3 linked regions of the Ovis aries genome follow. The protein of the gene in region 2 interacts with the protein of the main gene of each other region in a biochemical or structural test. Links are inferred from orthologs where the notes say so. Each region holds a gene or a part of one and is shown on either strand. Other genes may lie near its edges.

Region 1 (3,683 bases), on a different chromosome or scaffold from region 2:
AAGCTTCAGCCCACTAGAACATGTGTGGAAATGGCCTTGGTGGTCCACATGTAGCGGTCACAAAGCATGTGCTCTATAGAATTGCACCTCAGTCTTCAGGATTTCACCCAAAGCCTTATTGAGTCTTTTTATAGTAAGTCAAGTGCCTACTTGTAGGTCACAAGGATAATAGAAAGGAAGATAGGTATAGGATTAACTGTTACAGGGATGAACATTAACAGCAAGATAAATGATAGGCTGGTAACCTAATAGCCAGGTCCAAGAAAGAACTAAGGCTACCAAACTGCATTATTGCCTGTTACAGTTAATAGTTTTCACAATGTTGGCCTTTATTTGTCAGGAAAATCCAAATCTATTCAATCATTAGCATAAAACCAGAAAGACCATATTACCAAGTTAGAGAATTCTGTTTTTATTTTGGCCTAATAATGAGAAGCCGTTTGGGGGATGAGAATGTTAGTTGCTTATAAGTATGTGGCTAGAAACAGTAGAATTTCTCTGCATATATCTTTGTATTTAACATCTTAATGTAAGAGCCTGTATTTTTCCTGTTTTGTTCTACTTCTTTAATACAGTGAAATTTAGTTTGCTGGCCTTTGTGGTTCAATAGAATTCTGCTGTCTTGGGGTCTATGCCTCTTTCGAAATGGCTGGAAGGAAGGTAATGGGTGTGAAATGAGATTGAAGAGGTTGGAGAGTAATCACATTGGTGATTTTAGGTGTACATCATTATCTTGGTGTGTCAGAGACCGAGCAAAACATTTTCCCGACATTCTGTAGTCCACTGTTACTATCTTTCAGGGTTTTACATATGTGGCTCCATCTGTACTTGAAAGCGTGAAAGAAAAGTTTTCCTTTGAACCAAAAATCCGATCCCCTCGAAGATTTATTGGCAGCCCACGAACACCTGTCAGGTATTCAGACTTTGTTATTATTTTTTAATCTAGAAGAAAGCACATTGTTTAAGAAATTTATGCCAAGTTACATAAATAGAAAATCTGTCATCCTGTTTGGTTGGTGTAAGCACAGCATCTCTACCTTCTTATATTGCAAGTCATCCGTTTGTGACTAATCAATGAGAAAATGCTATATAGTTTACCTTCCCTCCTGAAAGTAAGCTGCTGCACTGGAAAGTGTCCTCTTTAACCATTCATTCAACATTTATTATGCACCAGGGGTTGTGCTGTGTGCTAGGGACACATGGTTATGACAGGAATTGTCCTCGTCCTGAAGAAGCAACATGGGGGCTCCTATTCATGAAGGAGCTAGCCATACAGAACAGAGAGGCACGGGGGTGTTACAGGCAGAGGAAGTGCATGCGGAAGTCCTCAAGGAGGACAAACTTGGCTGCCTTCTTGGCCATGAAAGGGAGGTCAACATTCCTAAAGTGTGGTGAGTGAGGAAGAAAATGGCAAAGGTTTGGAGAAATATTTTATTTTAAATGCAATGAGAAGCTGTTTTAAGTAGGAGAGTAAAAAATGAATTTTTTTTTTAAAGTATCACTGATGGTTTTATGAGGGCAAGTGTGGAGGTTAAGAGACTAGTTAGGAAAGTAACAATTAGTCTAGGGGCGAGATGGCTCAACTTCTGCCTCTGTGCCAATCCATACAAAAAGGAAATTAATTGAAAAAAAATCACATTACCCCACTTGCTTTAAATGTAAGGGAAATGTTTCTTGTTGAGATAGTACTTGAGACAAATGATAGCTCTTCCTTGTCTTAAAGCCCAGTCAAATTTTCTCCTGGGGATTTCTGGGGAAGAGGTGCTTCAGCCAGCACGGCAAATCCGCAGACGCCTGTGGAATACCCCATGGAGACAAGTGGGATAGAGCAGATGGACGTGACAATGAGCGGGGAGGCTTCAGCACCGCTTCCAATACGACAGCCAAACTCCGGACCGTACAAAAAGCAAGCTTTTCCCATGATCTCCAAACGACCAGAGCACCTGCGTATGAATCTATGACAGAACAATGCTTTTAATGAATTGAAGGCAAAAAAGGTGGGGAGGGGATGTGTGAGCATCCTGCAGGGTGAAACAAGAAGACTCAAATGACAGTCTCGAAGAGTCAGTGTCATGACATAGAACACTTTGGACAGAAGAAAATTAAACATGGATTTTAAAAAATCAATCAATGGTGCAAAAAAACTTAAGTGAAAATAGCGGAACTCTTAGGCACATCAATTAATTGATTCCTAGCAACATCGTCTCAACCTATCAAGGATTTTCATGTTGATGGCTCGAAACTGACAGTATTAAGGGTAGGATGTTGCTTCTGAATCACTGTTGAGTCCTGATCATGTCGAAGAAGGGTTATCCTTCCATTAGGCAAAGTATGAATTTGCCTATAATACTTGCAACTAAGGACAAATTAGCATGCAAGCTTGGTTAAACTTTCCAGCAACATGGAATCAAAGATGAAAAAAAACTTATCAATTGATGTTTTACGTGCAAACAACCTGAATCTTTTTTTTATATAAATATATATTTTTCAAATAGATTTTTGATTCAGCTCATTATGAAAAACATCCCAAACTTTAAAAATGCAAAATTATTGGTTGGTGTGAAGAAAGCCAGACAACTTCTGTTTCTTCTCTTGGTGAAATAAAAATGCAAATGAATCATTGTTAACCACAGCTGTGGCTCGTTTGAGGGATTGGGGTGGACTTGGGGTTTATTTTCAGTAACCCAGCTGCAATACCTGTCTGTAATACTAGGAGAAAAAAAAAAAAGAATCTACTTAATCATTTCTATTTGCAGTACTGTTCTGTGCTAAGCTTAACTGGAAGCCTTGGAATGGGCATAAGTTGTATGTCCTTCATTTCATCCTTATCCTGGGCCTGCATTGCACTGGAAAAATACCGCCACTTTATACCAGTATTTAGTTCAAGACGTCAAACATGTTCAGCCCGTGGCTGAAGGACAGAAGCGAGTCAGGATAAAATGCGTATCGTGGGGCGGCAGAGAGGAGGAGAGGAGGGAAATCCAGGGGAAGAGGGTGTTGCCATGGTCCACTCTCTTGTGTCTAATGTCTTTACAGCAATTTGGTAAGGTTTTAAGTTTTACTTCTTTTTACTGATTTTGCTGTCTACCTTCCTTATATTTCTTCCTCAATGGTTTTAAAAGGAAAAAAGATTTTTTTCTCCTATATTGGGGCTACATTTTTTGCTTATAAAAATATTTGATGGCCTTTTGATGAATGTCTTCCACAGTGAATAAAACTTAGTGGCTTAATTTAGGAAACATGTTAACAAGACACTATGTTTTTGCAGTTGTAACAAAGTCTACATAAGTGATTCACAGATACAAAGAATAAAAATAAAGGTAACTTTACCTTTCTTAAATACTTCCTGCCTTAAGAGCATTTCCGTGACTGTAGATGGTGAAAGGGTTTAATATCTGCAGAGCTTTATAAAAATGTATTTCAGTGCATACTGGTATAATAGATGATCATGCAGTTGCAGTTGAGTCTTATCACCTCCTTTTGTTTGTCTTTTATAATGTCTTCAGTCTGAGTGCGCAAAGTCAATTTGTAATATTTTGCAACCCTACAATTTTTTTAAATAGATGCTGCTTGCTATGTTCTCCAGACCTTTTTGAGCCATAGGATCCAAGCCATAAAATTATTTATGCATGTTGAATTCAACCAGAAAAGAGACAAGCTTTGCTTAAACAGCAATTCAAGTG
Region 2 (3,683 bases):
TCCAGCCCTCCTGTGTCTGGGGGTTTCCCGGCTAAGTGCCAAGTTTGCTAGTTACTGCTGTGTTAGAGGCAACTCTTCCTACACATGCAAAGCTTATCCATGGACTCATCTCTTAGATGTATGAGCTGGTGGCATGGTGATCCCTCCCTGTTGTCTAGAGTGGCAAGGCATTCCCTGGGGATGGTCTGTGTCCAGTCAGGCACTGCCAGCCACCACCACCACCCCACTCCTAAGTGCTCCCAAGACCAAGAACACTGGAGCCACTGCTCTGGGACCCCGCCAGCACTTCTCTTCAAGAGTCTCAAAGATGAGAAAACAGGCAAAACCTGGCAAATTAAAGTTTCTAAGATTTTCCTTTTTCTTTTCCAGAGTTCTCACCTTATGGTTTGATTATGGTCACTGGCCAGATGTAAATGAAGCCTTAGTGGAAGGGGTGAAAGCAATCCAGATTGACACTTGGTTACAGGTAAGGGCACTGGGTTACAGGTGAGGACATTGGGTTACAGGTGAGGGCAGGTAGATTTCAGGTGAGGACACTGGGGTACAGGTGGGGACAGGTGGATTTCAGGTGAGAGCACTGAGTTACAGGTGAGAGCACTGGGTTACAGGTGAGGACAGGTGGATTTCAGGTGAGGACAGGTGGATTTCAGGTGACACCAGGTTACAGGTGGGGACAGGTGGATTTCAGGTGAGAGCACTGGGTTACAGGTGAGGGCACTGGATTACAGGGGGGGACAGGTGGATTTCAGGTGAGGACACTGGGTTACAGGTGGGGACAGGTGGATTTCAGGTGAGAGCACTGAGTTACAGGTGAGAGCACTGGGTTACAGGTGAGGGCACTGGGTTACAGGTGAGGACAGGTGGATTTCAGGTGAGGACACTGGGTTACAGGTGGGGACAGGTGGATTTCAGGTGAGAGCACTGGGTTACAGGTGAGAGCACTGGGTTACAGGTGGGGACAGGTGGATTTCAGGTGAGGGCACTGGGTTACAGCTGAGGACACAGGGTTACAGGTGAGGGCACTGGGTTACAGGTGAGAACACTGGGTTACAGGTGAGGACAGGTGGATTTTAGGTGAGGACACTGGGTTACAGGTGAGGGCACTGGGTTACAGGTGAGGACAGGTGGATTTCAGGTGAGGACACTAGGTTACAGGTGGGGATAGGTAGATTTCAGGTGAGGACACTGGGTTACAAGTGAGGGCACTGGGTTGCAGGTGAGGGCACTGGGTTACAAGTGGGGCACTGGGTTATAGGTGAGGACAGGTGGATTTCAGGTGAAGGCACTGGGTTATAGGTGAGGACACTAGGTTACAGGTGGGGATAGGTAGATTTCAGGTGAGGACACTGGGTTACAAGTGAGGGCACTGGGTTACAGGTGAGAGCACTGGGTTACAAGTGAGGGCACTGGGTTGCAGGTGAGGGCACTGGGTTACAAGTGGGGCACTGGGTTATAGGTGAGGACAGGTGGATTTCAGGTGAAGGCACTGGGTTATAGGTGAGGATACTGGGTTACAGGTGAGGGCACTGGGTTACAGGTGAAAGCACTGGGTTACAGGTGAGGGCACTGGGTTACAGGTGGGGCACTGGGTTACAGGTGAGGACAGGTAGATTTCAGGTGAGGGCACTGGGTTACAGGTGAGGACATTGGGTTACAAGTGAGGGCACTGGGTTACAGGTGGGGCACTGGGTTACAGGTGAGGGCACTGGGTTACAGGTGGGGCACTGGGTTACAGGTGAGGACAGGTAGATTTCAGGTGAGGGCACTGGGTTACAGGTGGGGACAGGTGGATTTCAGGTGAGGGCATTGGGTTACAGGTGAGGGCACCAGGTTACAAGTGAGGACACAGGGTTACAGGTGAGAGCACTGAGTTACAGGTTGCGACAGGTGGATTTCAAGTGAGGGCACTAGGTTATAGGTGAGGACACTGGGTTACAGGTGAGGGCACTGGGTTATAGGTGAGTGCACTGGGTTACAAGTGGGGACAGGTGGATTTCAGGTGAGGGCACTGGGTTACAGGTGAGGGCACTGAGTTCCAGGGGGGGACAGGTGGATTTCAGGTGAGGGCACTGGGTTACTGGTGAGGATGGGTCAGGTCTTGCTCGTTGTCTCTCTTAGAATCATGCAGTGTTGAGAGGAGCACGCACTATACAATGGTAAGGAAGCAGCGATCCACCCCCAAGGTCAAGACTCCACATTTTCTTCAATTCCTTTAGAGAACTGAAAAGGATAAACCATTTCCATGCCCAGCAGTATCTATCAAACCAGTTGCAAGAGCTGTTCATGGCTCAGAAGAATAACTGGAGTTGTTTCCACATCTCATAGGCTGCATACTGTGTCTTTCTGAATATCAGGTTATACCTCAGCTCATTGCAAGAATTGATACGCCGAGGCCCCTGGTGGGACGTCTTATCCACCAGCTTCTCACAGACATTGGTCGGTACCACCCCCAGGTGCGTGGAGTCCCCGGGCACTTTTCCGTCTAACCACTGACCTTTGATTTGGCCATCAACCTTTCCTAAACCGCTCTAGGGACGCAAATGCCCCTGGGAGCCAAGAGTCCTGTCCTGCCCCCAGGAGCGTCTGCCCAGCTGACAGGCTCAGGGACCCAGGGTCTTCTGGGAAAGAAAAAATTCCGCCCAAGGCCACACAGCCCCTGCCTGGTAGACTTGGATGAGTGTCAGCACCATACTCTTGTCATCCTCCTTTTACACATTTGCAAACGCTCCTTCTGTGCTTGCTTCAGGCCCTCATCTACCCGCTGACAGTGGCCTCCAAGTCCACCACCACGGCCCGGCACAATGCAGCTAACAAAATCCTGAAGAACATGTGCGAACACAGCAACACCCTGGTGCAGCAGGCCATGATGGTGAGTCCAGGCAGACTCGAGCCACCAAGCAGAGGTCTCGAATGAGACGCTCGAGCCACCAAGCAGAGGTCTCGAGTGAGACGGCCTTCCTTCCTCAGGGCGAGGCCGTGTACTCCCTCTGCCGGAAGGAGTTCCTCCTGTTTCTCCGAGATGGGCCTTTCTGAGCTTAGCTCACCCTTAGCACGTCCCTCCATCCCCTTTCTGATCCAGGTGAGTGAGGAGCTGATCCGAGTGGCCATCCTCTGGCACGAGATGTGGCATGAAGGCCTGGAAGAGGCATCTCGCTTGTACTTTGGGGAGAGGAACGTGAAAGGCATGTTCGAGGTGCTGGAGCCCCTGCACGCCATGATGGAGCGGGGACCCCAGACACTGAAGGAAACATCATTTAACCAGGTATGGGATAAAAAAAGACATGAACTGACGGGACCCCAAAGTCTTTAGCAGACTCCTTTCCCTCTAACCTTTCTGCTGACTTGAATAAAATGTATTTTAATGGAGGGAGGTCACAGGATATAAAACACCAGAAATAGAATTGTCATGAAGTTACAAGAACCCTTCCAAAACTTTAACTAGAAAACCACGAGGTACCTCACAAGGCCATCTCGTCTTTCTTCCAACCTCACTTTACCTGAGAAGCCATCCTGAGGGTTGGGCTCCAGGACTGGAAAGCTGCCGAGCAACCCAGCCAGTGCCGTCCGGCCAGCATACCCTCCCGAGCAGTTCTGCTGCCTGCTGGGGACTCAGAGTTGGGCTTAGTCAACACAAGTGACACCTTATTCATTCTCCTGCTTCCCCTCTCAGGCATATGGTCGAG
Region 3 (3,683 bases), on a different chromosome or scaffold from region 2:
TCTGTGGTATAGGCAGGTGATGGAATACTATACAGCTATGAAAATGGATAAATTGCAGGTGTACACAATTACATAGGTGTGAAAAGCGAGTCACAAAAGAAGGCACAGGGTATACTTCCATATGTATGAGATTCACAACCCCCCCCCCAAATTAAACAACACATACATTGTTTAGAGATATAAATGCAAGAAAACCATAAAGAAGGGCTAGGAAATGACAAACTCAAAAGACAAAATAGCAAGCACTTCTGAGGTAGGAGGCTCAGGGAGGGATGGAGTTGGGAAGGGCACTGAGAGAACCTCCGTGGTGATGGTCTCTGCCTTAAACTGGGGGTGTTCACTCTTGTGCCATTATGCTGTTCCCATTTTATCCATGAGCAGTCGGATCTCCATAGTATCATCATAAAGCCGGTAAGAGATCAGGTTGTAGATGAAAGCACTGGCGAGTCGGAGAGTTGGCAAGACCATGTGCTCCAGTTGTATCCATGGCCACCGGGCGGATTGCACCTCAGGACGGTGTAGTGAAGGCTGCCAGGACTCAATGCCATCCTCTCTGAGGAAAGGCATCCTTCTCATTCTTGTAGGCCTCCCTGATTGTGACCGAGGAGCTGCACCTGATCACCTTTGAGACTGAGGTGTATCACCAAGGCCTCAAGATCGACCTGGAGGTGAGTTCTGCACAGAACTGGGTAGAACTGCCTGCAGGATGGTTCAGGATGAGGCTTCTAGTCAGGGTTTTCACTCCAGAAGGTGGAATGATGACTCTTTACTCAGCACTGTGTTTACATTTGCTTCTTTTTCTCCAAGAATTCGTTAGTATCTTGCCTGAGTGCTTAGAAGATACGTGTCTACTCAGGTTCCAGCAAACTTGATGTAAAAACTTGTATTTAGGAATTGATTATAGCCAACTTTATACAGTTTGGGCAAAATAGTCTTTCAAACAATCGCGGCATTTACCTGCTCTTTCCCCAACTTTCTTGATCTTTAAATTAAAGATACACCTGAAAAAGCAAGAACCCTAGTCTTTGATTCCTGGGACCTCTCTATTAAATGGGCAGATACAGCTTCAGTACAGCAATGTGGGAGACTTGGGTTCGATTCCCCTGGGTTGGGAAGATCCCCTGGAGAAGGGAAAGGCTACCCACTCCAGTATCCTGGCCTGGAGAACTCCATGGACTGTATAGGCCATGGAGTCGCAGAGTTGGACACTACTGAGCAACTTGCACTCTTTTCACAGCTTCAATTCGTGAATGCCTTCCAAGTTTTATAAATGGGGAGTCTGTGGACTGTGAGTCCACTGTGAGGAGTCAGCTTTATAAATTCCTGGTGATACTCAGACAGCCCCTGAGTTCAGCCTACTCTCCACGCTGGGTGTCGAGCTGACCGGGCCCCACCGCTTCCTGAGGGCTGGCAGCAAGTGTACTCCACGACCTCTCCTTTTATTTCGAACCCTGCGAGATGCGGGTGAAGAGGTTTCTGGAGCCTCAAGGGCCCTCTGCCTCCCCAAATCATTGCCCGCTCCCTCCACAGACGCACTCATTGCCAGTGGTGGTGATCTCCAACATCTGTCAGATGCCCAACGCCTGGGCGTCCATCCTATGGTACAACATGCTGACCAACAACCCCAAGGTGAGTCGGGGGCCCGGGTTCTCCGGAGGCTCCTTGGTGCCTCGGGGCTGCCGCCCAGCAGGCGCCACCCTTTCATCTAAAGGAGCGAATGTGTCATTTCCAATAGAACGTGAACTTTTTCACCAAACCCCCGATCGGAACGTGGGATCAAGTGGCCGAGGTGCTGAGCTGGCAGTTCTCCTCTACCACCAAGCGCGGGCTGAGCATCGAGCAGTTGACGACGCTGGCGGAGAAGCTCTTAGGTCAGCCCTTGACCTCTCCTCCCTTTGCTCTCCTTGTAAAAGGAATCTGGCTCGTGGGGCTGTTCATTGAGGAGAGTTGACTGAGCAAGGCGCTGGGCAGAGCACGTGTGCTCCAGCAGGCCCTGGAGTCAGGTCGCAGCGGAGGTTTGCGGCTGGTGATCACTTTTATGAGACGGGAGGCAGATTTCTTTTCTGTTGGTGGCTGTCTCCCTGGGTACTTTGTCCAGCCTTAGGAAGGTATTTTAAATGTATGTTAGAGCTAAAGGCTTGGCATCCCTGTCTGTTTCTTCAAGAAAATGTAGCTTGTTTTTATTTTTTTTTCCTGGAAGAAAAAAGTCTTAGAATGTTTTACGTGCCATCTGTGCTTTGTCCTGCGCTGCCACTAAACATGGGCTACCCAGGTGCCTCAATGGTAAAGAATCCACCTGCCAATGCAGGAGACTTGGATTTGACCCTTGGGTCGGGAAGATCCCCTGGAGGAGGAAATGATAACCCACTCCAGTATTCTTGCCTGGGAAATCCCATGGAAAGGAACCTGGTAGGGCTACAGTCAGACATGACTGAGCGCCTGAACATGCATGACTAAACGTGACCCTGTAACTCAAGCTGTCAGCTTCTTAGTGTGTTCTGCTGATCCCCAGACTGCCACACGAGGCTAGAAAGGGCAGCAAGGACTTGATATATCACCTACCACCTCTGCTGAACAACAACTTAGGGGGCATCAAATGATGGGATTGGGTGTGTGGGAGGGGTGCATATGTATGCACGCAACAGTGGCAACATTCAAATACATGAAGAGCAAGTTTCAGGGCATGTTGTGGGACAGTTGTGTGTGTGTTCTATTTGAAGAAAGATCTGGATTTAAAACTGCAAATCCTATGACTTTTTTTTTTTTTTTTTAATTTCAGGACCTGGTGTGAACTATTCAGGGTGTCAGATCACATGGGCTAAATTTTGCAAAGTAAGCCACCGTGTGAACTCCATCCATGAGGCTGCCTCATAGGAGGAGGAGGGGGCAGGGACACTTAGCTGTGGGGATGTTGTGGAGGGCAGTGGGCCTGAAGGCCCCGGACTCTTGGTCTGGCGGCCAAGAGGACCTGCCTGAGGGTAGATGGGCTTGAGGATTTTGGTGGCACCTCACCCCCTTAAAGGAAGAGCCCAGGGAGGTGGGGAACTGAGCTTTCCCATTACTCTTTTCTCCAGGAAAACATGGCTGGCAAGGGCTTCTCCTTCTGGGTCTGGCTGGACAACATCATTGACCTGGTGAAAAAGTACATCCTGGCCCTTTGGAACGAAGGGTAGGTTGGAACTCTTGTGTCTGACAGAACACACAGGGGTGACAAGTCCCCTACTCTGCCAGCAGGCTGGCTGCATACCAGAGGTCCCTCAGCCCCAACCTTGCTGTTGCTCCTCTCTGTCTCCAGGTATATAATGGGCTTCATCAGCAAGGAGAGGGAACGGGCCATCTTGAGCACTAAGCCCCCAGGCACCTTCCTGTTGAGATTCAGTGAAAGCAGCAAAGAAGGAGGAGTCACCTTCACCTGGGTGGAGAAGGACATCAGCGGTAAGCTTAGCGATTCCGCACCCCAACTGGTGGCCAGCACGGCTGTGGCTGGCCTTGGCTGCTGCTAGTTTCAGGCACCTGCTGCCCCCTTGTGGGCGGGGATGGCCTCGCACTCCCCTGCCTCAGACTTGGAAGGTACCCGGTGATCAGTTTTATGAGATGGGAAGACTTGGCTTCTCTAAATTCTTCCAGCTGGAGGATTGGTTTGCCAGTTTTATTTTGCTCCCCGCAAGGGGCTAATCAGTTCA

Evidence for each region.
Region 1: of the proteins of MTOR (region 2) and RPS6KB1, one has a biochemical effect on the other in vitro, tested with the Homo sapiens proteins (18 studies listed by BioGRID and IntAct, with this or other methods). The link is inferred for Ovis aries from reciprocal best matches to the Homo sapiens genes MTOR and RPS6KB1.
Region 3: the proteins of MTOR (region 2) and STAT3 form a complex in vitro, tested with the Homo sapiens proteins (2 studies listed by BioGRID, with this or other methods). The link is inferred for Ovis aries from reciprocal best matches to the Homo sapiens genes MTOR and STAT3.

Annotation. Positions count from the first base shown.
Region 1 is NC_056064.1:10,567,439-10,571,121, forward strand, and holds part of RPS6KB1 (ribosomal protein S6 kinase beta-1), read left to right. Parts: intron 1-800; coding exon 801-913; intron 914-1,723; coding exon 1,724-1,961; 3' UTR 1,962-3,268; coding exon of another isoform or gene 3,269-3,392; 3' UTR 3,393-3,683. UniProt on the Homo sapiens protein: Serine/threonine-protein kinase that acts downstream of mTOR signaling in response to growth factors and nutrients to promote cell proliferation, cell growth and cell cycle progression.
Region 2 is NC_056065.1:41,762,768-41,766,450, forward strand, and holds part of MTOR (serine/threonine-protein kinase mTOR), read left to right. Parts: intron 1-369; coding exon 370-466; intron 467-2,354; coding exon 2,355-2,453; intron 2,454-2,746; coding exon 2,747-2,869; intron 2,870-3,079; coding exon 3,080-3,262; intron 3,263-3,670; coding exon 3,671-3,683. UniProt on the Homo sapiens protein: Serine/threonine protein kinase which is a central regulator of cellular metabolism, growth and survival in response to hormones, growth factors, nutrients, energy and stress signals.
Region 3 is NC_056064.1:42,156,981-42,160,663, reverse strand, and holds part of STAT3 (signal transducer and activator of transcription 3), read left to right. Parts: intron 1-584; coding exon 585-668; intron 669-1,530; coding exon 1,531-1,629; intron 1,630-1,735; coding exon 1,736-1,871; intron 1,872-2,779; coding exon 2,780-2,832; intron 2,833-3,074; coding exon 3,075-3,169; intron 3,170-3,295; coding exon 3,296-3,435; intron 3,436-3,683. UniProt on the Homo sapiens protein: Signal transducer and transcription activator that mediates cellular responses to interleukins, KITLG/SCF, LEP and other growth factors. Once activated, recruits coactivators, such as NCOA1 or MED1, to the promoter region of the target gene.